3 linked regions of the Tamandua tetradactyla genome follow. The protein of the gene in region 2 binds, or shares a complex with, the protein of the main gene of each other region. Links are inferred from orthologs where the notes say so. Each region holds a gene or a part of one and is shown on either strand. Other genes may lie near its edges.

Region 1 (7,388 bases), on a different chromosome or scaffold from region 2:
GTCCCTCCATGCCACCAACATGCTGTGTGTTCTTGGGAAAGCAACTCAGCCTCTCTGATGTCCACCTCTCTCAAAGGATGGGGGCTTGGTTTGGATGAGCTCATTTCTAAGGTCTTTCTTGGTCTGTGACTTTTTTTCCACACACTCAAGTTCAGCTGCTCCTGGGCTTTCCCTGAGCTGCACCCCCGACCCCCAGTGGACTGTCCCACCCCCTTCACCCCACCCACCCAACTCCATTTCATTCACTGTGTTCATTTCTAAATTCTCTTTCCTAGAATTTTTAAAATAATGAATGTATATCACTTAAACTTAGTTTCCTTTATTTTGTAACTTCCAGAAGTAACCTATGCTCATTGTAAAAACAAGAAGTCAAACAATACAGACATAAGTAAAATAAGTGAAATCCCTCATCCAATACCATATCCAAGGGTAAGTAACTCGGAGCATTTCTATAATCAGAAGAAATAAAGAAAACAACGACTCCACACATATCTATTTAAAACAACCACGAGCACAGTCGCTGTGCCTCCCCCCTGGCCCCTCCACAAGGTCTGCTCCAGCGCCCTAGCCCTCAGCTCTCTTCTGGTGATTCCGAAATCAAACTGCCTGGGTTTAGATCTCAGCTTGGCCACCTCACCTGCAAACCAGAGCAGCGCTCTTCTCTTTCCATGGCTACAGTGCGGCCTGGCTGCCTGGCCACCCAGAAGCCCGTGGGGCTGAGCCGGGGCTGAGCAAGTACCCCCAGTGTCTGGCACTCACCACTGTTATTCTCTGATCTCCTGCACTGATTTTATCTTTAGTGAAATAATAAACCAACACAGTTACTGAGCACCTAGTCCAGGCACCGAGGATACAAGTGTTTAGGTACTGACCCCTCGTGCCTTCCAGGAGCTGACAGCAGAGCCGGGGCCTAGGAGCACAGACACGATAATAAGAACAGCTCCGTGCGAACGCAGCTCTGGTAGCTCAAGAAACTCTCAGGAGGTGTCGCCTTACCCAGGACTGCTCTGAGCAGGGCTCAAAGCCAGCGACTTGGAGAAGGAAGAGAGGCCCAGGGGGCTAAGCACCCAATTAAGAAGGCTAGGTGGGTTCAGACCCAGGCCAGCTGGGCCCATCAGTCCACCAGAGAGCCAGGGGAGAGCACTAGCTGTCTGGGGTTAAACCAAGTGAGGCCAAGTGCTGGGACAAAGGAAAGGACAGCGGGGGTGGTGAGAGCAGGCGGGACAGGCCCTGTGAGTCTTGAGACACAGACTCTTATTATTCCCACAAGCTGGCCTTGTCCTGAGGGCCAGGCCATGCCTTACCCTTTTTGTAGACCGTCGCCCTTACCCCATCCGGCCCCGAGTTGGACACACTCCCGGGCTGGTGTGCATCTAGCCAGCTGCTCGCATTAGGGCCTCCGTGAGATTCGCAGGCGGGGGTGGGCGGGGATGAGGAGCTCTGGACCAGAGGTGGGGGCAGGTGGTGGAGTGGACAGAGACACCCGGACCTGGGTTCTAGTCCAGCCTCAGCCACTGGTGCTCTCGAGGTCCTGAGGCAAGCCACTCTGCCTTCCTCTCAACTCCCTCACCTTTAAAACGGGCGGGCCAAGCCCCACTCACAGGCCAGGGAAAGACTCCGGGCAGTTACGAGCTACACAAAGGGCCGCTAGCAGGGAGGAGGCGCCCTTGCTATGCCATGATTTAGTGTGCATGACCTCATTTCCAGGCAGGGATTCATATTAACCAGCCCATTTCACAGACGGCACTCGGAGGAAAACCTCTGCTCAGGTCCCGCAGCTAGGGAGTGGCAGGTGCAGGATTTGAACCCAGGCCCCTCTGGCTGCGGGGCAGGCACACAGGCAGCCTGTCATGGCAGGTGGAGCCTTACGCCTCGGCCTTCCCCATCTGGCACCCCTCCCTCTGGTCCCCCCAGCTCAGCTGAGGGCCGTGGGGGAGGTTCCTGGGCTTGATGATGCCATTAGAGATCCCCAGGGGTCTCTGCCCACCTGAGGGCCAGGGAGTCAGCGACCGCCTGGTCAGAGAAGGGGCTGGCGCCATAGCCCAGCTGGGGCCTGCCTGGGGTAGGGGCCCCGGGAGAGGGGAAGGCGCCAGCTCATTAGATGGAGAAGCAGTGAGGCTTTTCTAAGCCCCCTTCCACAAGGCCCTGCACAGCTGCACCCCTCTTCCTCCTCCCCACCTGGGGGCCAGGATTACAGGGCAGGGACATCTACCCCTGCCCCCACAAAACCCACCCTTCCCTCCTCTGAAACCCACTTTCTAGTTCCCTAACAGCAACAGCAGGTGGGGGGCGGGGTGGAAGGAGAGTTCGGGCCAGGGTCCTGGATACCCCCCCCACCCGATGGCCCTGGCTATTCTGGCTCTCCAAACTAAGCTCCCGACCCTGGCTGGGCCTCGGGCCCCCGGGAAATACTGAGTTTCCTGCACCTAGACACACGCCTGGAAGGTCGGTGCTGGCCCAAGAGCGCGGGATCGTGCCCGGGCGGCCTGGGCGTTAGGTCAGGCGGGGCGGGAAGGGGCCCGCGACCTCCTCCTCCCAACACCAAGGAGGTCGGCCGCCCCAAGAACCCGGGGCCGGCGGGGCGCGGCAGCCTGCTCCCGTCTCCACGCCGAGGCTTCGGCTGGGCACAGGCAAAGCCCCACCCGGCCCGCCGCAGCCCCCGGGCAGGCGGCCCCGGCGCCCTCCCCCGATCCCGGCTCAGGCCCTCCGGCCCGAGGGCAGGAACGGCGGCGGCCGCGGCACCACGAGACGCAGCGGCTCGGGGTCTGGACTCCAGGCTCGGGGGGCTCGGGGGGCTCGGGGGGCTCGGGGTCCGGGGCTCTGTCTAGGAGGGAGGCTCGCACCCGGGGCCGGTGCGCGCGTGCTGCGCTGGTGGAAGGCAAATCAGATTCAGCTGACAGGGGGCGCGCGGGACTCTCACCTGAAATTGGGAGGCGACGCGATGTGCAACCCCAGGAACGGGGAGACGGCCGGCGGGGACGCGGCCCCCCCGCCCAGGCCACCGCTCTCTCGCTCCGCCATTCTCCGGCACAGCTCTGGCCATCCGGGCGGAGCGCGGCGCGGAGGAGGCGGTGGCGGAAGAGGAAAGGGAGGCGGAGGCGCGGCGACAAGGCCGCGGGCGTCGCGGGGCTCCTGCTGGGGCGGGCGCGGCGGGCGCGGCGGGCGCACCTGCGCAGGGCAGCGCGAGCTCCGGCCCGCGCACGGCCGCGGGTACTGGCGAAAACCCCGCGGCGCGCGCCCGGCCCGCCGGAGCCCCTCACGCCCCGCCCCGCCCCGCCCCGCCCCGCCCGCCGGCGCTCTCCGAAGTGCTGAAGTCACCGCCCCTGCGCCCCCGCGCCCCCGCGCCCCCGCGCTCGGCCCAGCTCCTCCCCAGACCCGACATCGCCCCCCTCCCCGGGCAAGGCCCGTGGTCTCCGGGGCGGACTCGGTGAGCTCTGTCCGTAGGGGCGGACCTAGCGCCGGGCTATCAGGTGCCGAGGGCTGGACCCTGGGTCCCCAACGCTCCGGTTGGCCCCGTAGCAGACGAAGGCCAAGAACGCTGGCGGGAGAGGTTCAGGGAGGAAGACGGAGAGGGGAGAAAGGATGCGCCGCCGGATGGCTCCTCCGGCAGTGAACTTTGGAGTCAGGTGGCGTGAATTCAGTCTGACTCCCCAGGTGACTAGGTGGGGATGGGGGCCTTGCATTCGTGATTGAACAATCCTAAGGCTCAGCTTCCTCACTTTTGAAATGAGGACAAGCACAGCCCCTCCCAGAGTCGTTTCGATGGTGAAATGTAGTATGTATGAATGTGCTGTCACTGGAAACCAGGCCTGTCTCAACACTGCAGCTCCTGCACCTTCCAGGAGCTCCAGGCCTCCTTCCTTCCTTTCCTGTCTCCTTATCTTGACCCCAAGGCTCCTCCCTAGAGGCCCTCATCTCTAAAGATTGGTCCAAGGTTGCCTTTGGCCCCCAACAGGTATTAATGGTGACTTAAGCCCTTCCTCTAGGCCTCTCAGCTTCCCCTTCGTGTCAGAAATCCCCCAGCTTCTCTCTCTTCAGCCTCAACTGCATTTCCTGCACACTGCCCCTCTTTTGGGTGGGCCTACCACTGGTTTCTCACACTCTAAGGTCGGGGCCTTCCCCCCTACCCAATCTGTCAACTTCTTGAGATTCGAACCCTCCACCCCTGCTAGGTTTGGGCTGTGGTTCCTTGTGGTCCTCTCCTCCCTCAGAGCGCACAGCCTGGGTTTCCAAGCCTTCAGGGCCCTGTGTAGCCTGATTGAGTTCTTTCACAGACCATGAGATGCTTGGCACTCAGGCTGCTGACCAAGGCCAGGGCCCCCATTTCAGTGGGTCAAGGCCTCTGGCCAGCCAAGAGAACCAGAGACCCTGTCCTTCACCTCTCTGGAGAAGAGGCAGAACACTTCTTCACAGCTTGCAAAATCCTATTTGCAAACCTGAACTGCCCACTGGTCATGCTGCCCCCTTTCCCTTCAGTGTAATTCCCAGAAAGATGCTGCTGGTATTTATCCTGCAGAAAATAAGCTCTAGCTCCAGCCCTGACGGCATCCCAATACCTAGAGCCAAAAGCCCTGGCTGTGTCTTTTCTCTGCCCCTGGGGCCCAGATGGGTGACCCTTTACCTTTCCTTCTACCTTGGCACAGGCACTACTCCTGAGGCCCTCCCAGTAACCAGCTGCTGCCATGGTGCCTGGATTTTATTTCAAGGAAAGCACTTCTGCTGTCTTGGCTAATAAACGTTCCATGGACTGTGTGCTGGTCTCAGCTAGGGCGGAAGGAAAAGTCAAGAGTGTGTTTGTGTTTGGACAACCCCTTTTCCTTGGTTTAAGAACAGAAGAATCTTAGTCCAGGGGCCAAGCCAAAGCCACATTAGAAGGAATCCCGAAGGGAAGGGCGCTCCAGGTTCTGGTGGGAAGAGGGCCAGCAGACGCTTCAAAGCAGGCACGAGAGTGAGACAGGCCCCAGGGCTCAGTCCCTCTCTTTCTCCCCTTTCCCATCTGCGCAGGGACAAAGGGAGCTGGAGGGCGGGCTGCCAACACGCCCAGTCCCCCAAAGCCCAAGGCAATGGGAAAGGCCGCACCAGCAGGTAAGCCACACACTGTCTAGAGGGTCCTCATGGCCAGACGCCCCGGGAAGAAGACAGCATCCAGCCCGGAACCAGAGGGCCTGCGTCCCGTCCTTGCCACAGAGCAGCAGCCCAACTGGTACTACTGAGGTAAAGGACGGATTGAGGGCCATGCACTGACTGTCTCCTAGCCTGGGGGGCTCAAATGGGCTACAGGCTGAGGCCCCGCAGGACAGCACGCAGGAACCTCATCCTGGGCTTGGCCTGCTCTGAATCCTTCTGGCCAACTGAACCCCAGCTCTGGCCACCCAGTTTTGCTCCAGTAGGTCCCCTGAGACACCCCCCTCCCACCTACCCCCTCCCACCCACCAAGGAGGGGCTGGAAGAGAACCAGCCTTAAAACCCCAGCCCCCAGACCTCTCATAAGACTAACAGCAACACAGCTTTGCTTAGACAGGATTAGACATTTATAAAACAACTGAATATTCACAAACCGTGGGAGAAACACACCTTCCCAATGATAAAAAAATCTCTATAAAGTGCATTTTGCCTGCGACCATCTCCTCCCCACGCTGGCCCCTGGATCAGGACTGGAGCATCGCTCTGCAGTAGCCGCCTGGTTACCTGTGCTAGAAGGGGGGCACAGCCACTGGACACACCCTCACCCCAACCCTCCCCTCCCAGCCCCGGAGTAGACTGCTGCACCCCACTGGAAGGTTGTCCTGGGGACAGGCCAGCATGCCAGGGATGGTAAAGTAGGGAGAGGTGGTTTTTTACTTTAGGGGAGAGAGCTATCATCAAATATAGGCAGGACAAAGGAATCATCCCGATATTTGAAGGTGCTGCTAAACAAATAACCGACTCCAGCCCTAAGCCCTCTTGCATTCTCAGTTTCTCAGACTAGCCCTTCCAGACTTACTCTACTGCCCTTCTGGCAATGGCTTCTGATTCTCTTTCCTCCTGGAGGCTGGGGCTAAGGAACAGGTAAGTCCCCAACCCCATTCTCCAATACACACCATCACATGTGCCCTGCTCCCCTCTCTCCACGCTTCAATTATAGGACATTTCTAGGAAGAGTGACATACATACAACAGTTCGAATCTAAAGGCAGCTTTCTGGCTGAGAAAACCTGAGGACATCTCAGGAAGAAGCCTGCCAATGCACTGGACAGCTGTAGGAGACAGGGGCCTGGCCCCACGGTTCTGGTCTGAGGACAGAGGACAGGGAGGGACAGGGCTCGGGCCAAAGCAGTTAACAGCTATGAGGCTAGGTAAGGTCACAGGGGAGGTAGAGAGGAGATGGCCTAGAGGCCAGCTTAATGTAGCATATGAGGACAAAAATCCGAAGAGGAATCAGCCTCTCAGCTATGCACATACGTGTGGGCACGCACACGCACACACACACACACGTACAAGCACCCCTGTGGCTCAAGGACAGGCCATAGGGTAGAAGGAAGACTTGCTCCAGTGAACTACGCAGTCCCTGCTTCGTTAAGACTTTCTTAACACAGGCCTTTGACAGTGGGAGGGGAGGGGAGGCACGGCCACCTCTGGAATGCAAGGCTTGGCTTCTCTGGGTCAATCCTCCCACCTGCTGCGCTAGCAGGGTTGGTGTGCTGGGTCTGTTCTCTGTGTGGATCTCTGTCAATTGTCCCTGGCTGTCCCTACTCAGGTCCACCTGCCTGGTTTCTCAGAGTCCAGCTGCATGCTGGATGCTAGCCAGCGCAGGGCAGGTCCCGGAAGCCTACCGAATGGGCTGGAATGGCTTCCCTGGCTGAACTTCAGCTGTTCTCCCTGGCAGCACTGTGGTGCCCTGGAGAGTAGCCAGAGGGGCCAGGGGACCTGATGTCAGCAGGGACCTGATCTTTTCCTGTGGAGGGACAAGTCTGACCCTGGCCCCCCCACAGCTCCTGGAAAAGCTCTGAGGCTGGCTCCAAGCTTCTGGGCAAAGAGCTCAGATTCTACTCCTAACCTGAAGCCCTGTGCCTCCAAACATGTGCTGTTTCAGTACCATGTCCCCACCACACCACTCACATATTTAGGTGTACTTCCACATGACGGTGGAAACTTCTCAGAAATTCCTATCTATGGCCTTGTGGCCAGTCCCAGACACCCAAGGAATGGTCTGAAGGACAGAGGAGTGGGGAGTTTTAAAATAAGAAAGAAGGCAGACTAGGTGGCTTGGTCTACTCCAGCCTGCCAAGCCTCAAGGTCAAAAAGCAGGAACTCAAGCAGGGCTTTCTGGCTGCCTCTAAAGTCCCATACTCATGACAAGAGCCAAAACTGTTGCCTTAATGTCCCTCAGCCTTATGTAAAGAGGGAAGA
Region 2 (7,238 bases):
CAAAAGGAAATAGAAGGGACAATAGAGGAAGAATTTTTAAGATGTCAATTTGTTTACTTCTTATCTAATTAAAGGAATTCTCTAGGTTTGAGCCCATATCCTGATAAGCAATTAAGCAATATTCAATTTGCACACAATTCCAAGGAAAGTCCTTTAACTATAAATATGATCCAAAGCCAGATCTAAAGCAGGAAGGGTGAGCCTCTGTCCCCAGATTTAACAAACAAGAAAACCCCAAATTTGTCTTTATCTTTTATCATCAGTATAAAAAGACTTTGTAACCAAGCTAACATTCAAAGAAATAGATTCATTTACATGAAGCTACAATAAAATTTCTAAAATATATATGCCATTACACATGGAAAGCATTTTCGGGTTACTTAGGTTAGGCAGATTCCTTTTGCTTATGATATTCCTATACAATATACTGACTAGGGTAACCTATAGGTTTTCCTGTAAATTTTAAGTATTCACATGTACTGTAGCATCCTTGATCAACTCTCAGTTCATCCTAACCTTGAAAAACATCGACATGTATTATGAAACCATTAAATACTAATAGCTGCAGATGTACCAGACAATGACAGCAAAAACACACTCTATCCCTCTGAGATCTGTTCATAAACATCCCCTTCCTCCTCTGAACACACTCCTCCCGACAGCAGATGCTGTTCTGCGGTGAGCAAGCAGGAAGCTGGAGGCAGCTGATTTTTCCTCTCTGCATATAATTTCTTACTGCCCCATCATCAGGAGCCTTTTTACTGAAACTGCAAACATTTTGTCAGAAAAGGAGCCCATCAAATTAAAGATACTTTGCAGCAACAGGGAAGTGCTTACAAATGAGGAAGCAGGAAGACTCTTGAACACCTAAGGTCATACCACAGTTTATATCTGATTTTCTACTACCAATGTGGGGCAGGGAAAACCGGTTTGCTCCTTCTATTAAAATAAGCTAACCCAGTACTTTCAGTCAATTTTAGGAGTGAGAATAAGGTAGACCGGGGAGTACATACCAGAGGCAACAAAACTGCTACATGCAAACTGTATAGCACCTAAAATCCAATGTTTCTGAAGTGGAGTTGGACACTTGTGAACTCATTCGTGAGCATCACTATCTACATTTACAACATAGATGCTCACCTAGGGTAGAAAATGTGCAGAAGCCTCTCTGAGAGGAACAGTTATTCCTGCAAACATTTCTAATATGTTGATCGGTATTCTACGAGACTTTTCAGAGTCCAACAACCAGCAGATTAGTGATGGAGGAAGAAATTGGACTTTGGACTGGCAGTGTCTTGTGCATTTATAGGCATTTGTTTTTAGTCTGAACTGCGTGACCTGTCCCATATGACTTGGCCAACCTCTTTTCAATTTTTTCATAAAAGTTAGAGTCAGCACAGGAGAAGTGATCAAGGCTACTGTACAGACACTCAGACTCTGCAGCAAAGGCAGCCCACGTAAACAACCTTGTGATTGCTTCAGAGCAGAATGCTGTGAGATATGCCATTCTTTTTCTGTGACTAGATTATAGTATCCTAGGAAGTTATCTTTATAAAGGGTAAAAACAGAGATTCGGTCTTGCTTTAAATTTCTGGACAAAAAAAAAGGATATATATATAATTTTAATTGTACTATCTATATCATGATTTACCTGAAGATTTTCAAATATCACATATTCTTATAAATATATTGCTATGCTTGTTTTTAATGATATATGTTTTTCCTTTCTTTTCTTTTTTCACCAAAGGAGCTCTGACATTTCTAGGGGACATGGTATCCCAGCACAGAATACCTGGGAACCATGCCATAAAAAAAAAAAATGCTGCCTCCTGTGACTAGGAGATCACTTTCTTAAAGGAACCCCTTACCTATGTGACTGCAGTGCCAATTTTTTCTCTTATCTCTAACCGGCTCCCTGTTCTATGGTCCCTTTACCAGCACCAATTTAACCTAGGCTCTCTGTAAAAGTAATGACTCTAGTTTTACAGCTAAAACATATAAATACCATATTCTACTGAATATGTGATAAAATATTTATTTCAGTTAATGCACACTTAAAGACATTATTTTTTAATTTCCTATTAAAAAGGAATAGCATTTCTCAAATATGGGACTGAGGCTGGCACTTCTGGCAAGCACAGATGTTTCCTCTCTCTTTCTCCCTCTCTCTCTCTCTCTTCTTCCCTCTGTAGTTCTACGTTGGTCTAACAACCCCTGATCACAGTAAGAATGCTCCCTCCCACCCTCTGCCACCCTTCACTCCAAACAGAAAGGTTACAGCACACCCAGGTCTGAGGGAAGATACTCCACACAGGGAAAAAACCTGGTGGCCTCTTGGCTCAGAGGTAGTTCACTTCATTAACCTGCTTTCCACCCCACCTCGCCCCCCTCTCCCACCCCTCACTCTCCCACCCCATGAGAAACAATCAATAGACGTCACCCCACCCTCCAAAAACAAGTCAGAACCCGAAATGAGCTTAGAGCCACCTACCATTCCGTGTCTGAGAACTACGGTAGTGATCCGGCAGTGTTTGCCCCAGAAATCCTCTCTAGTTGCTTTTCATTAACCACATTCCAAACTGTGACAAGGAATAGTCTTTGGCGGTGGGGAGGTTGTTTAAAATTAATGATGGACAGGTGACTTACAAGAAAATTCCATCTTAAAGTCACTCACAGCCCCCTAGGAATTGAGGGGTGAGGAGAAAAAAAAAAAAGGAAAATTGCAAAAATGAAAAAAAGAAAAGAAAAAGGAAAGCATATAGCAAGTACCACCCACCCCCATAAAAACAAAGAGAAGGGGAGATTTAAAACAACAACAGAAGAAGCTGAGTGCCTTGCTGAATCACCCTCTTTCACTGCCTGGAAACCATTGTGCAGCGTGATGCTGCCTGTACCATTGTGGAACCTACCAGAGGAGACGGACAGAGGGCTTGGGGAATGGGGTTGCTATGGCAACGGAAAGGAGCACACGTGACGTCAAAGCCCAAAGAGGTCTAGGGAGGGGTGAGAGGGGGAAAGAGAAAGAGGAAAAAGTCTATGTGCGGCTACAGCTCCTGTGTTTTCTGGAGAAGTGAGGACGAGGCAAATGTGAAGGAACAGGGTTCGTCGGCAGCCAGTATCAGCAACTACGACATCAGGGAGCCTGGCTGCACAATCCAGAGAAACATTCCCCACGATGCGATTCTGGTCCTTTTCACAGCAGCTCTGAGGAGCAAATACCCGCAGACTACAAAACACCTTGGAAACGCATCCGATCTCTGTTTTCCAACTATTTCAGGTTTTTTGCAAACAGTGTGGAGAGAGACATGCACTATCTCTGAATGTCAAGACAAGCAAGCTATTATAATTACCCTAGAGAAGTAAGCATTTGAGTTTTGCCCAGAGGTCATTGTACTGCACTGTTCCTCTTCTCAGTTTCCTTGTTTCTCATTTAAAAAATCCTGAGTAAATACCCACTAAGTCAAAACACAACAAACTAATAATGCTCAGATTGCGATTTGAATGTAGAAAGAAAATATTGATAATATGAGTTAACAAATCAGGGTTGTTGTTTTTATTGTTATCATCACAAATAATTCTCTGGAAAATAAATGTAAATTGCATTATTACTATTTGAGGGAAATATCTCCATTTAGTTCATTTTCCTTGCCTTTGCCTGTTAGGGCATTATTACTATTTGAGGGAAATATCTCAATTTTGTTAATATTCCTTGCCTTTGCCCGTTAGGGTATATTATAGTTTTAATATCCACAAATAATAATTTCTTGGATTAAAAGCGGTTTATTACTTCCACTAGTTAAAAGAACGAGCTTACCCAAGTTTTTAGCCTTTAAAAATATTTTGAAGGAAATTTTTCAATAACGTTTTTCCAGATTTATCATCTGGTCCTTAATAATTTATAAATTATCAGAAATACAAATTTTTCTTGAAAGTAAATTTAAATGATCCAATGATTGTAAAAAAAACTTTCTATTGAGTTCATTTGGCAAAAAAAAAAAATCTGTAAAACTAAACCCATACTTACTATGGTATTTGTATTTGCTATACAAATATAGCAAAATATAGCATTCCAAAGTATTTGCTATACAAATATAGCAAAATATAGCATTCCAAAGTTTGCATTTATAAAGAAAGGGAGATTTCCTTGCTTGGAGAACAAAAAATATTTTTGGATATCTTCAAGTCCCACCATAAAGTACCTACATGCCATTAAATAAATAAACCTGGATACGAAAGATAATAAATACAACTCCATGCCTTTGAAAATAAGAAGTTATATTCATTTATCCATTTAAAATTCTCCTGTGAAAAACTCTTATCATTGATATTGATAGTATTCAAATCAGGCTTCTAGATTAAATGTTTCTTTGAAAGTACTATGAAAAAAGTTAGTAAAGGTGTTTTTATACCTTAACACAAAGTTCAAATATGTAATATCATAACTGAGATTACCTGTTTTAATATGGGATGTCCCAAAAGTTAACACTTTTTACTAATATTTTAGAGATCAAAAGTTTATAGCTGTATACAAAATGGGAAAAAGACTTGAACAGACACCTCTCAGAAGAGGAAATACGGATGGCCAAGAGGCACATGAAGAGATGCTCAATGTCCCTGGCCATTAGAGAAATGCAAATCAAAACCACAATGAGATATCATCTCACACCCACCAGAATGGCCATTATCAACAAAACAGAAAATGACAAGTGCTGGAGAGGATGCGGAGAAAGAGGCACACTTATCCACTGTTGGTGGGAATGTCAAAGGGTGCAACCACTGTGGAAGGCAGTTTGGCGGTTCCTCAAAAAGCTGAATATAGAACTGCCATACGACCCAGCAATACCATTGCTAGGTATCTACTCAAAGGACTTAAGGGCAAAGACACAAACGAACATTTGCACACCAATGTTTATAGCAGCATTATTTACAATTGCAAAGAGATGGAAACAGCCAAAATCTCCATCAACGGACGAGTGGCTAAACAAACTGTGGTATATACATACGATGGAATATTATGCAGCTTTAAGACAAGATAAACTTATGAACCATGTAATAACATGGATGGACCTAGAGAATATTATGCTGAGTGAATCCAGCCAAAAACTAAAGGACAAATACTGTATGGTCCCACTGATGTGAACGGACATTCGAGAATAAACTTGAAATATGTCATTGGTAACAGAGTTCAGCAGGAGTTAGAAACAGGGTAAGACAATGGGTAATTGAAGCTGAAGGGATACAGACTGTGCAACAGGACTAGATACAAAAACTCAAAAATGGACAGCACAATAATACCTAATTGTAAAGTAATCATGTTAAAACACTGAATGAAGCTGCATCTGAGCTAGAGGTTTTTGTTTTGTTTTGTGTTGTTTTGTTTTGATTTTACTATTATTACTTTTATTTTTTTCTCTATATTAACATTCTATATCTTTTTCGGTTATGTTGCTAGTTCTTCTAAACCAATGCAAATGTACTAAGAAATGATGATCATGCATCTATGTGATGATGTTAAGAATTAATGATTGCATGTGTAGAATGGTATGATCTCTAAATGTTGGGTTAATTTCTTTTTTTCCGTTAATTAAAAAAACAAAAAAAAAAAGAGAAAGGATAATTGGAGATGAAGGGATACAGACTGTACAACGGGACTGGATATAAAAACTCAGAAATGGACAGCACAATACTACCCAATTGTAATGCAATTATGTTAAAACACTGAATGAAGCTGCATGTGAGGTATAGGTTTTTTGTTTTTGTTTTTGTTTTTTTGTTTTTGTTTTTGTTTTTTTCCTTTCTATTATTGTTTTAATTCTTATTCTGTTGTCTTTTTGTTTCTTTTTCTGAATCGATGCAAATGTACTAAGAAATGATGAATATGCAACTATGTGATGTTATTGAGAATTGCTGATTGTACATGTAGATTGGAATGATTTCTAATTGTTTTGTTAATTCTTTTTTTAATTAATAAAAAAAAAAAAGAAAAAAAAAACAAACAAAAAAAAAACAAAACAAAACAAAAAAAGTTTATAGCTGTAAAGTAATGATCATTATTAACCATAAATGTTTACTGATCGCTTTCCTTGTATAAAATGCCATGCTAGGTTCCTGGAAGACAATGATAAATAAAAAGGGTTAAGGCACAGACAAGTATAAGGTGAGAGAGTATTCATAAAATCATAGTAATATAAAATACGGTATGGAAAGTACAGAATGAATGGAAGCAGTAGGAGTGTATATGATGGATGCAATTATCTTTGCATAAGTGCTGTGCCTGACACACACCATAATCTCAATCAATATCTATTTGTTTGTTTGTTTGTTTAATGTATTATTCTTTGTTCTCTCAGGCATACTGTAATGAACTGGGAAATGGCAATGGAGATATACACTGGGGTCATCCTACTGAAGACCTTAAATAAGGAGTTTGGGTTTTATCTAGTAAAGAATGGGAACTACTTAGGTGTGACTTTTTGTTTCTTTTTAAACCAATGTGTGTTACGTGAACAAATTTTAAGAAATTAAATTTAAGAAAATTTACTGAAGTATGCAGAAGACGTAAAAGATTGTTTTATTCATCTAAATATTACTGAAAAGAGTAGATTGAGAATTAAAGCCCTAAATAGTAAAACCCAGGGCAGTGCAACAGTGACTCAGTGGCAGGATTCTTGCCTGCCATGCCGGAAACCTGGGTTTGATTCCTGGTGACCGCTCATGCAAAAAAAAAAAAATTGCATAAATAGTAAAATCCACTCCAAAATATAGGAGCAAATTTGTCATCTAAAGGTAAGAATCAACACTTAATAGAAGAAAATGTTTGATTTTAACCTAGTCATGGTTGCCATCCTGCTTTCCCTTGTGTAACAGAACTCTTCTCTTCCTTTTGAGAACTACCCCTGATGCCACTGATGGAACTGTCAGTCACAGGGGTATCCCATTCCTCTCTCTATGAAGTGACTATTGTACCCAAACAGGACCAATCAGAATCTTTTGGTGGGGAAAAGTATGATATGGACACTGAGAAAGAGACTTTCTTTTTACGGTATTATTAGCTGTAAGAAAGTATAGTTTTAGAACTTTGGGAAGCCATCTTTGCCACCATTTTAAGAAAATCCACCCAAAGATGAAATTAACCCAAAAGAAAGTGAAAAGTCAAGAAGGAAAGAGACGGCCTTGAAAGTATATTTTGAATATCTGGTTCTCACCTTTCCAAAAATCATCCCCACCTCTTGGACTTC
Region 3 (7,727 bases), on a different chromosome or scaffold from region 2:
GAATTTCAATCTATTTAAATGTAAATTCAAATAGTTCCACGTAGCACACGCTACCACATCTGATGGCACGTGGCTAGGTTCTCCTGGACCCTCACTCTTAAGGACTGGTGACAAGCCCAGATGTTTCCTGTCCTTTCTGTGGGAACTCTGTTGCTATTTCTCCTGCTACTGCTACAAAAACGGGTTCTCCGGGTGGCTCCCAGCATCCCAAGAGCTCCCGCTCGTAGATGCACAGAGGTCGTTCAGGTTTGCTGAAGGAGGGTAGAATCCACCATTACCCAACAGGGGTGGGGACTAATTGGCAGCTGTTAAGAATGCTACTCTGTTTACACTCAGGTCAGAAAACGCTCATGAAATTCAAATCAAGGCTGCCTCCCCTGAGATTTTTCCCAGCAGGAAAGCCCTTCCCAGTCTAAACAACTTTTTTTTTTAAACCACTAAGATAATTATATTCTATACACAAGGAGAGGATAAAGAAATGAGCAGGAAAGTAGAAGTGGGGGGTGAATTATTAGGGTAGAAAAGTCAAAACATGGTGTAAGTCTGAGGAAACACCAAACAGCTCCAAGTACAAATGGAAGGAACAGCCCCTAAACATTTAAGAGATTTTGTGAGCTCATTCATTACTCTACATGAAAGAGTTCAGCTCATTTTCCCCTCAGTCTCTTCAACTTTTCCAGAGACACATTAAATTTGGGGGCTTAAGCATGTCCGGTGCTTCACACAGCCATTGGTTTGGGCCCGGTGGAGCTTCCATAATGAAAAACATGTGAAATTGGATCCACAGGCTTTCAGCCCACAGACCGGGCTCCATTCCCAAGGAAGGGCCTCCAAAATAACCCTCCAGCTATTACAGCAAAATGAACTGTCAGCGTAACTGACACCACGACACCCAGAAAAGGGACCCAGCTTTCTGTACCTCAAGTTCAGTCTCTCGTCTGTTGATATCATCCGTGGATTGATTTAACTTCTCCAGTTCTCCCTAGTGAAGGAAGGAAAGGGGGAGAAAAAAGATTTGAGGCATCGGTCTTTTGTTTCCAAAATAACTCAGCCCATAACCTGAAAACAATGATCCCGGCACAATTTTGTGGAAGAGGGGAAAGGTGGTATTCATTCTCAAGGGAAAAAGGGGGGCCTTGTCTGGAAAAGCAAATGAGTGTCCCATTTCTGAAGTTTTTTTCTTGATGATATCCTTTTTAAAAATGGCTTAAGGGCCTAGGAATTATCTGTCTTTTCCTATAAGGTCAAATATCCATTTCAGGTGGGTGCCTTCAGGTAAACTCACCTGTTATAAGCAGTTCAGTGGCAGAATCAAAACAGTACCTTCTGCCATAGAGGGAAGAAATAAGCATTTAAAAAATTTTGTTTTAAAACCTGGCCAAGCCAAAAGGATATTAAACCCAGTGAAATCATTTAAATCTGGACAGACAGCTGGCATGTCATCTGTGGTTGATTATTTTTTGGTAAAGAGATGAAATTCCCTTTTTTTTCTAAACTGCCAATTATTCAACCTACCTACCTCTAGTTAACTAGTTTTAATCCCAATCCTTTAAATTAATATTTGCAATCTAACATTTGTAAAAAAAAAAAAAGTAAGGAGCACGAACTTAACTCATCTTTGCTCTGCTCTGCAAACAAAGGATCTCGATAACAGGATTTCCCAGCAAGAACAGAAGCTATAGCAACCCAAACTGATGATTTGAATTAATCGAATCATTCCTAATTCAAGGCTTTTTCCACCTGATCTTTATCTTGCTAAACGGCCGAAAAACAATTCATTTAAACCCCAACCACTGAGTTCAATGAGCTTTTAATTGATCTGTGCGCTGAAAAATCAATTAGGGCTCCAAAAACTGCACAGCATGCTTTTTAGCAATATATATATTTAAAAAAATAAAAAAGAAAAGATTTATGGAAAGGGGAGAGTAAAACGGATCTTGGAAAGGGGGATTTGCTGTGTTTCTGCTTAGCGGGTGCAGAGGTTAAGTTGTCATTCATAGATGTCGGCTTGTAAAGTGTTTTTTAATCATCCCTCTTGGAAATGGAGGCATAGAAAGGCAGGCCAACCCCCTCACCGCCTGCACGCGTCAGCACTGCGCATCACTTGTTCCTGATTTCTGTTCACAACCGACCTCACAACAAGGAAAACCAGGGCTTGAAACCATTTCAGGCCAAGCGGAGGGTTGAACCAGCGGGGACACTACCCCGCCCCCCGTTTCTTGACAATGACTCAAAGGAGGAGAGAGGCGACTCTGGCCGGTGACTTCGGCCAGGTGGGGGCTGCGAACCCATGGCACCGGCGCCAGCCCACGCTGCAGGGGCGGGCAACGCCCACCCAGTCGAGCTCCCGGGCCCGCCCCCAGAGCCCACGCGGGCCGGGCAATCCCTTCTGCCGTCGCCTGCGCGATACCCGCGGCGCCGGGAGCCTGACGCGGGGGGTACCCCGGAAAGGGCAATGGCTCCTCTGTCCCTTTTTCCCTTTGTTGCCCATCGCCCGAACCCCCAAGATCCCGCCGAGAGTTTGCGGGGAAAGGGGGGGGGGGGGCCCTCGCGACGTAGTCAGGCCGCATCCACGCGGGCACTGCAGCCCCCCCGGAGAGGCGGGGGCGCTTGAAAACGGTGTATTCACACCCCCTCTTGCAGCCCTAGGATCTACGCGACTGCGACCCCGCCGACCGCGGACACTAGGGGCTGCGTGCGGATCCTCGGAGTGGAGGTGTAGACGCCGACCTCCGCGGCAGCCCTTGCGGAGAGGAGATCCCAGGGGACCCCCGCGCGCCGTACCTGGATCCGGGGGTCCACCTCTTCCTCCTCCTCCAGCCCCTGCTCCATCCCCTCTTCCTCCTCCTCCTCCTCCTTTTCCACGTCCCGGGCAGGCGGAGATAGCTCCGCCGGCTCCTCGGAGCGGCTCCGCTTCAACGCCGTTTCCATGTGGGCGGAGGTGCGGGGCGCTGCGGCCGAACCCGAACCTCGCGGTGGGCTCTACAGCGCCTCGAGGGGGTCGCGGCCGCGGCAGGCTGGGCCGAGCCTCCGTGCCACCGTCCGGGAGGCGCCGCTCGCCGCCGCGGAGCCCTCGGGCCGAGGCGGAGCGCAGCGGTGGAAATGGGCGCGGCCGCCCCCTTTCTGCCGCGGCCGTCAGCGCAACGCCGCCCGCTCCGCCCTCGTCCCGCCGGGGCCGCCCCTCGGCGCGGCCCTGACACCATTCATCTACTGGTCCCCATTACCCGGGCCTCCGTCACAAAAACCCCAGTTTCCTGACAACCCCTAGGCTGATGAAACAGGAGCGTCCCCACCACCACCACCACCACTTTTAACTTAGCAGCCCGAATAAATGACAAAACACCCTGCGTTAGCCCCCTGCTTTCTGGGTGGCTAAACTCAGCCAAGATAGGTTTAGGGTATGGGAGGAACGTTTGGGACATTTCCACTCTCAGAAGTCACCTTTGGAGACCTGTGCTCAATGCCCCTGGGCCAGTTTCAAGACCCACTCAAACCCTTGTACCCAAAGCATCTTTCTTCCTTTGGGTGAACCTTGTGAATTGCCTCTACTTGGAGATTTCCTCAGAAAAAAAGAACGGAAACATATGCTCTGTGCAGATGCAAAAGTACAAAGAGAGGAGCCGGCTGCAGGTCCATGCATGGATTCCTCTCCCCAAGACAGTGTCCTCCACTGGGAGGCTTGGAGCACAAACCAATCTCCTGCACTTTCATAGGTGTGTGATAGTCCTACCTGAATAGCCATGAAACATTGAGAACCCATTGAACATGGAAGTGGGTGGGATGATACAGCCTTTCCAAGGACGCCCCGAGTGTATTCCCTGTTGATGGACACACTCTAGCCAAGGATTTATGAACTGATGAGATGCCCTGTCCACCCTCAATAAGTGGGATGCCAAAGCTTACCTGGGAAACTCATCACCACAAAAGGCCAAACAACCGAAAGGGCATGCATGCGTTATTATGAAATGTCAGGGCCACTGTGATATCAGGAACACAAGGTCAGACTGCCTAGGGAAAGCAGGCTAGGGACATTGCCACTCATCACTCCTGATGTTTCCTTCTCGACCAAAATGGAGAAAGTATATGCTTCGTGCATGGAAGCTTGTGGCCAATGGGCTCTGTGAGTTTGGAGGACAAACTTCCTTAGGACCTTCTTTCTGAGAGCCTGGGGTTAAAGCCACCTGGAAAAACCTGCTTCTGGTTTTGCCAGAAGCTAACTTGAGGATGTTACTCCTGGGGCAAGGTGCCACCCTATCTGTTGACACTGTGGTCCACTCTCAAAGATTTGTCCTGTTCCTGCAAATAGTACAGGTCTATGCTATAGGCTTGTTTCTGTAAAGATCACTGTAGTAGAAGCTTAATAGTGATTGATCCCCATTGTAAAGGTCTTTCTCTTCTGAGGAGAATGCTGCTGTCAATATTTGGATTTTCATTTGGAGGCTCCATGTTCCTCTCCACACCATCATCTCCCTTCTCCTCTGCTTTGACCTGTTCATAGCTCTTTAAATCTGGGGAGAGTCCACAATTCTGTGAGAGATGTTTTGAAGTTCCTTGCTAAAAGCATAGTTGCTTTTGGCTTTTTGTTATCTCATGGCTCTATGGGTCAGAAGTTCTGACCTGGCATTACTGGGCTGTATGCTCAGGATTTCACAGGCTGGATCAGGGTGCTGTCCAGCCTGCATTCCTTTCTGGAGGTTCTAGGGCTAGGGAAGCATCACTTCTAAGACCATTCAGGTAGTTGGTCAAATTTATTTCTTTGTGGTTGTAGGACTAAGCATCTGGAAGCCACCTTCATTCATTGCCATGTGGCTCTCTCCATCTTCAGAACCAGCAACAAAGAATCCCCGTGTCAAATCTCACACATACTTCAATCTCTTCTTCAGGAAGAGCCCAGTCCCTAGCTTTAAGAGCTCACCTGATTAGGCCAGATCCACCCAGGAGAGTCTTCAATTCTTTAAGTCAGCTGCAGCATATACCTAATCTAATGAAGGAACAACTACCTCACCATATTCACAAGCCCCAGAAATTACACAGGGGTTTGCACAACAGGAGACAGGAAATGGAAACCATCTTATAATTCTGCCTACCACACATACTAAGAAGGCAAGCCATGCTATTATGTAAAATGCTTAAATATTTACTTTAGCTGGCATATCGATCTAGAGGAGTGGTTCTGAAAGGATGACCTAGAGACCCCTGGAGGTCCCTGAGACCTTGCAGAATATCCTTCTGGTCAAAACTGCTTCATACTAATTCTAAGACAATATTTGCCTTTTTCTCTCGCATTCTCTCATGAGTGAGCATTGGAGATTTCCATAAGCTACAGGACATGTGACATCACAACAGGTTGAATGCAGAAGCAGATATGAGAATGGATCTGATTTGCAAAAACATAAAACATTGCCTCTCTTCTCACTATTTTGTTTTGTAATAGATATTTGTCACAAAATCATATTTATGTTAACATGTGATGGACTTATTATTATTACTTTTAGATGACTTAATAATTGTTTGTTGTTGTTGTTGTTGTTTTCTTTTTCTTTTTTTTTTTTTTTTTGGCATGGGTAGGCCCCAGGAATCGAACCTGGGTCTCTGGCATGGCAGATGAGAATTCTGCCACTGAGCCACCATTGCACTGCTCAATAATTGTTTTTTAAATCTCAGTTTTCATTTCTATGCGGTAATGGCCAAGAGATGTAACCACATAAACAAAAGCTCTTTGAGATCCTCTAATAAATCATTTTTAAGAATATAAAGGGATCCAGACACCAAAAAGTCTGGGAACTACTGATTTAGAGGAAATGTATATTCTAGTTTGCATTGTCTATTTTAAATCTGAATTTCAACCTTCTACTTCCCTCCTCACTAGAAAAATACATACCCCCAGGACTCTTCTTGGCCATTGGTGAAGTATTTCAGGCACAGTACATTCATACCCATTTTAGATGAATATAAATATAATTAAACAACTTTAAATGATTGAAGAAATGGTTACATAAGGAGTAGCTCACTTGGTGTATCACTGGTTATTTTCTAGAATCTAGATTTTCCCAACTCCTATGCCAATGAGAATGCTGCTTTTGGTAGTTAGAGTCAGTTGTCAACTTGGCCAGGTGAAGGCACCTAGTTCTGTTGCTGTGGACATGAGCCAATGGTATGTGAACCTCATCTGTTGCTGATTACATCTGCAGTCAGCTAGGAGGCGTGCCTGCTGCAATGAATGATGTTTGACTTAATTGGCTGGTACTTAAATGAAAGAGCTCAACATAGCACAGCCCAAGCAGCTCGGCATACCTCATCTTAGCACTTGCAGCTCAGCCCAGGCCTTTGGAGATGCAGAAAGGAATCACCACCAGGGAATGTTGTTGGAACCCAGAGGCCTCGAGAGAAGGCCAGCAGAGATTACCCTGAGCCTTCCCACGTAAGAAAGAACCTCAGATGAAAGTCAGCTGCCTTTCCTTTGAAGAACTAACAAAATAAATCCCCTTTTATTAAAAGCCAGTCCGTCTCTGGTGTGTTGCATGCCGACAGCTAGCAAACTAGAACACTGCTCCTGCGGAGGAAATGACCAACTTTGTAATGCTTTGCTGGGAGTGTGGTTTCCAAGAACACACCTCTCCTTGTCAGGCTTTGGGTGGGCCTTGAGCGGGAATGGCACACGTGTATTGAGGCAGCCACACACTGTACGGTGTGGGCAAAGATGGGACGGCTGTTAAGAAACAGAAATCTTAAGAACAGCTTTGCTTGGACTCCGCACTCCCTGATCAATTTATTTTTAGTACCTCCTTGCAGTTTGTTTGAGTCCAGACATTGGGGGAAAATATGTTATATGTGTTTGTTCACTGCCCCACACTTCCTTAAGTTGTAAATCTACCTTGGTAAGAATCACAGCCTCTGCATTGCTCCCCGTTGCCATTTAAAATAGTGGGCTGATATGTGGAAGGAAGGAGGAGATGGTATCTGATAGGATGAGACTATGTTTATATATTCCTCCATTGTGGGTTCTTATTTGCAATGATCTGGTTTCTTTCATAGGATTCCATCAACCTCTCCTGTAGCCCCACCTCCTTATTGGTGGAAAGCACTTACAATCTGGGCCCTGTCCTCCCAAAATTATAAAACAAGCAGATCTCCGGCAAAGAGAGACCTTTTCCTTATTTGGTTCATACCTTGGAGAGATGAAATGCTTGGGGTGTGTTTTATTTCTGTAGGTGTGGCGACAAATGTGAATTGACTTAAGCACTCACAGAAAATGCTGCCATGTTCAAAGGTTGTCACTTCTGTCTTCGAGTGAAGGGGACCTCCAACTGTGTCTGCAATGCTCCTTGGTCTTTTCTGCGAAGAGGGCAACTTCTCCCAAATTCTTGAAACTGGGAAATGGAGGAATCAGAGAATGTGGGGAGATCTGCTGACTTCAAAATGGTGGGGTTGAGTTTAGGGCCGAAAGACTGGGAAATGGAAGGAGCGCGCTGGCCATTCACGTGGGAAAAGGAGCAGCATTTCCACTCCTGGCAACTGAGCAGGACCTCATTACCCACTGGGTGAACATGGAGCTCATACTCACTCTTCTGCCTTGAAGGGCCAGGATAATTTTATAGAGAAGCTGACACTGGACTTTGAATAATAAACAGAATTTCCTTGAACAAGAGAGTAAGATTTTGCAAAAGAAAGAAAGAAAAAGTGCTTTCCTGTGGTGGTTTGGAGCTGTTATGTACCCCAGAAAAAAG

What was found.
Region 1: the proteins of MAPK10 (region 2) and MAPK8IP1 are in contact, whole or in part, in a crystal structure (PDB 3PTG), measured with the Homo sapiens proteins. The link is inferred for Tamandua tetradactyla from reciprocal best matches to the Homo sapiens genes MAPK10 and MAPK8IP1. Residues at the interface, in NP_620448.1 of Homo sapiens: Asp150, Ala151, Gln155, Val156, Met159, Leu161, Glu164, Arg165, Tyr168, Leu169, Tyr171, Val197, Lys198, Ser199, Asp200, Cys201, Trp362, Asp364, Glu367; in NP_005447.1 of Homo sapiens: Pro158, Lys159, Arg160, Pro161, Thr162, Thr163, Leu164, Asn165, Leu166.
Region 3: the proteins of MAPK10 (region 2) and SH3BP5 are in contact, whole or in part, in a crystal structure (PDB 4H3B), measured with the Homo sapiens proteins. The link is inferred for Tamandua tetradactyla from reciprocal best matches to the Homo sapiens genes MAPK10 and SH3BP5. Residues at the interface, in NP_620448.1 of Homo sapiens: Lys121, Asp150, Ala151, Gln155, Val156, Met159, Leu161, Glu164, Arg165, Tyr168, Tyr171, Val197, Lys198, Ser199, Asp200, Cys201, Trp362, Asp364, Glu367; in NP_004835.2 of Homo sapiens: Val341, Val342, Arg343, Pro344, Gly345, Ser346, Leu347, Asp348, Leu349, Pro350.

What each region holds. Positions count from the first base shown.
Region 1 is NC_135334.1:122,532,856-122,540,243, reverse strand, and holds the start of MAPK8IP1 (C-Jun-amino-terminal kinase-interacting protein 1), read right to left. Parts: upstream 3,064-7,388; 5' UTR 3,022-3,063; coding exon 2,921-3,021; intron 1-2,920. UniProt on the Homo sapiens protein: The JNK-interacting protein (JIP) group of scaffold proteins selectively mediates JNK signaling by aggregating specific components of the MAPK cascade to form a functional JNK signaling module. Required for JNK activation in response to excitotoxic stress.
Region 2 is NC_135350.1:40,818,578-40,825,815, reverse strand, and holds the start of MAPK10 (mitogen-activated protein kinase 10), read right to left. Parts: upstream 3,082-7,238; 5' UTR 2,492-3,081; intron 1-2,491. UniProt on the Homo sapiens protein: Serine/threonine-protein kinase involved in various processes such as neuronal proliferation, differentiation, migration and programmed cell death.
Region 3 is NC_135341.1:73,336,532-73,344,258, reverse strand, and holds the start of SH3BP5 (SH3 domain-binding protein 5), read right to left. Parts: upstream 3,071-7,727; 5' UTR 2,932-3,070; coding exon 2,785-2,931; intron 983-2,784; coding exon 920-982; intron 1-919. UniProt on the Homo sapiens protein: Functions as a guanine nucleotide exchange factor (GEF) with specificity for RAB11A and RAB25. Inhibits the auto- and transphosphorylation activity of BTK. Plays a negative regulatory role in BTK-related cytoplasmic signaling in B-cells.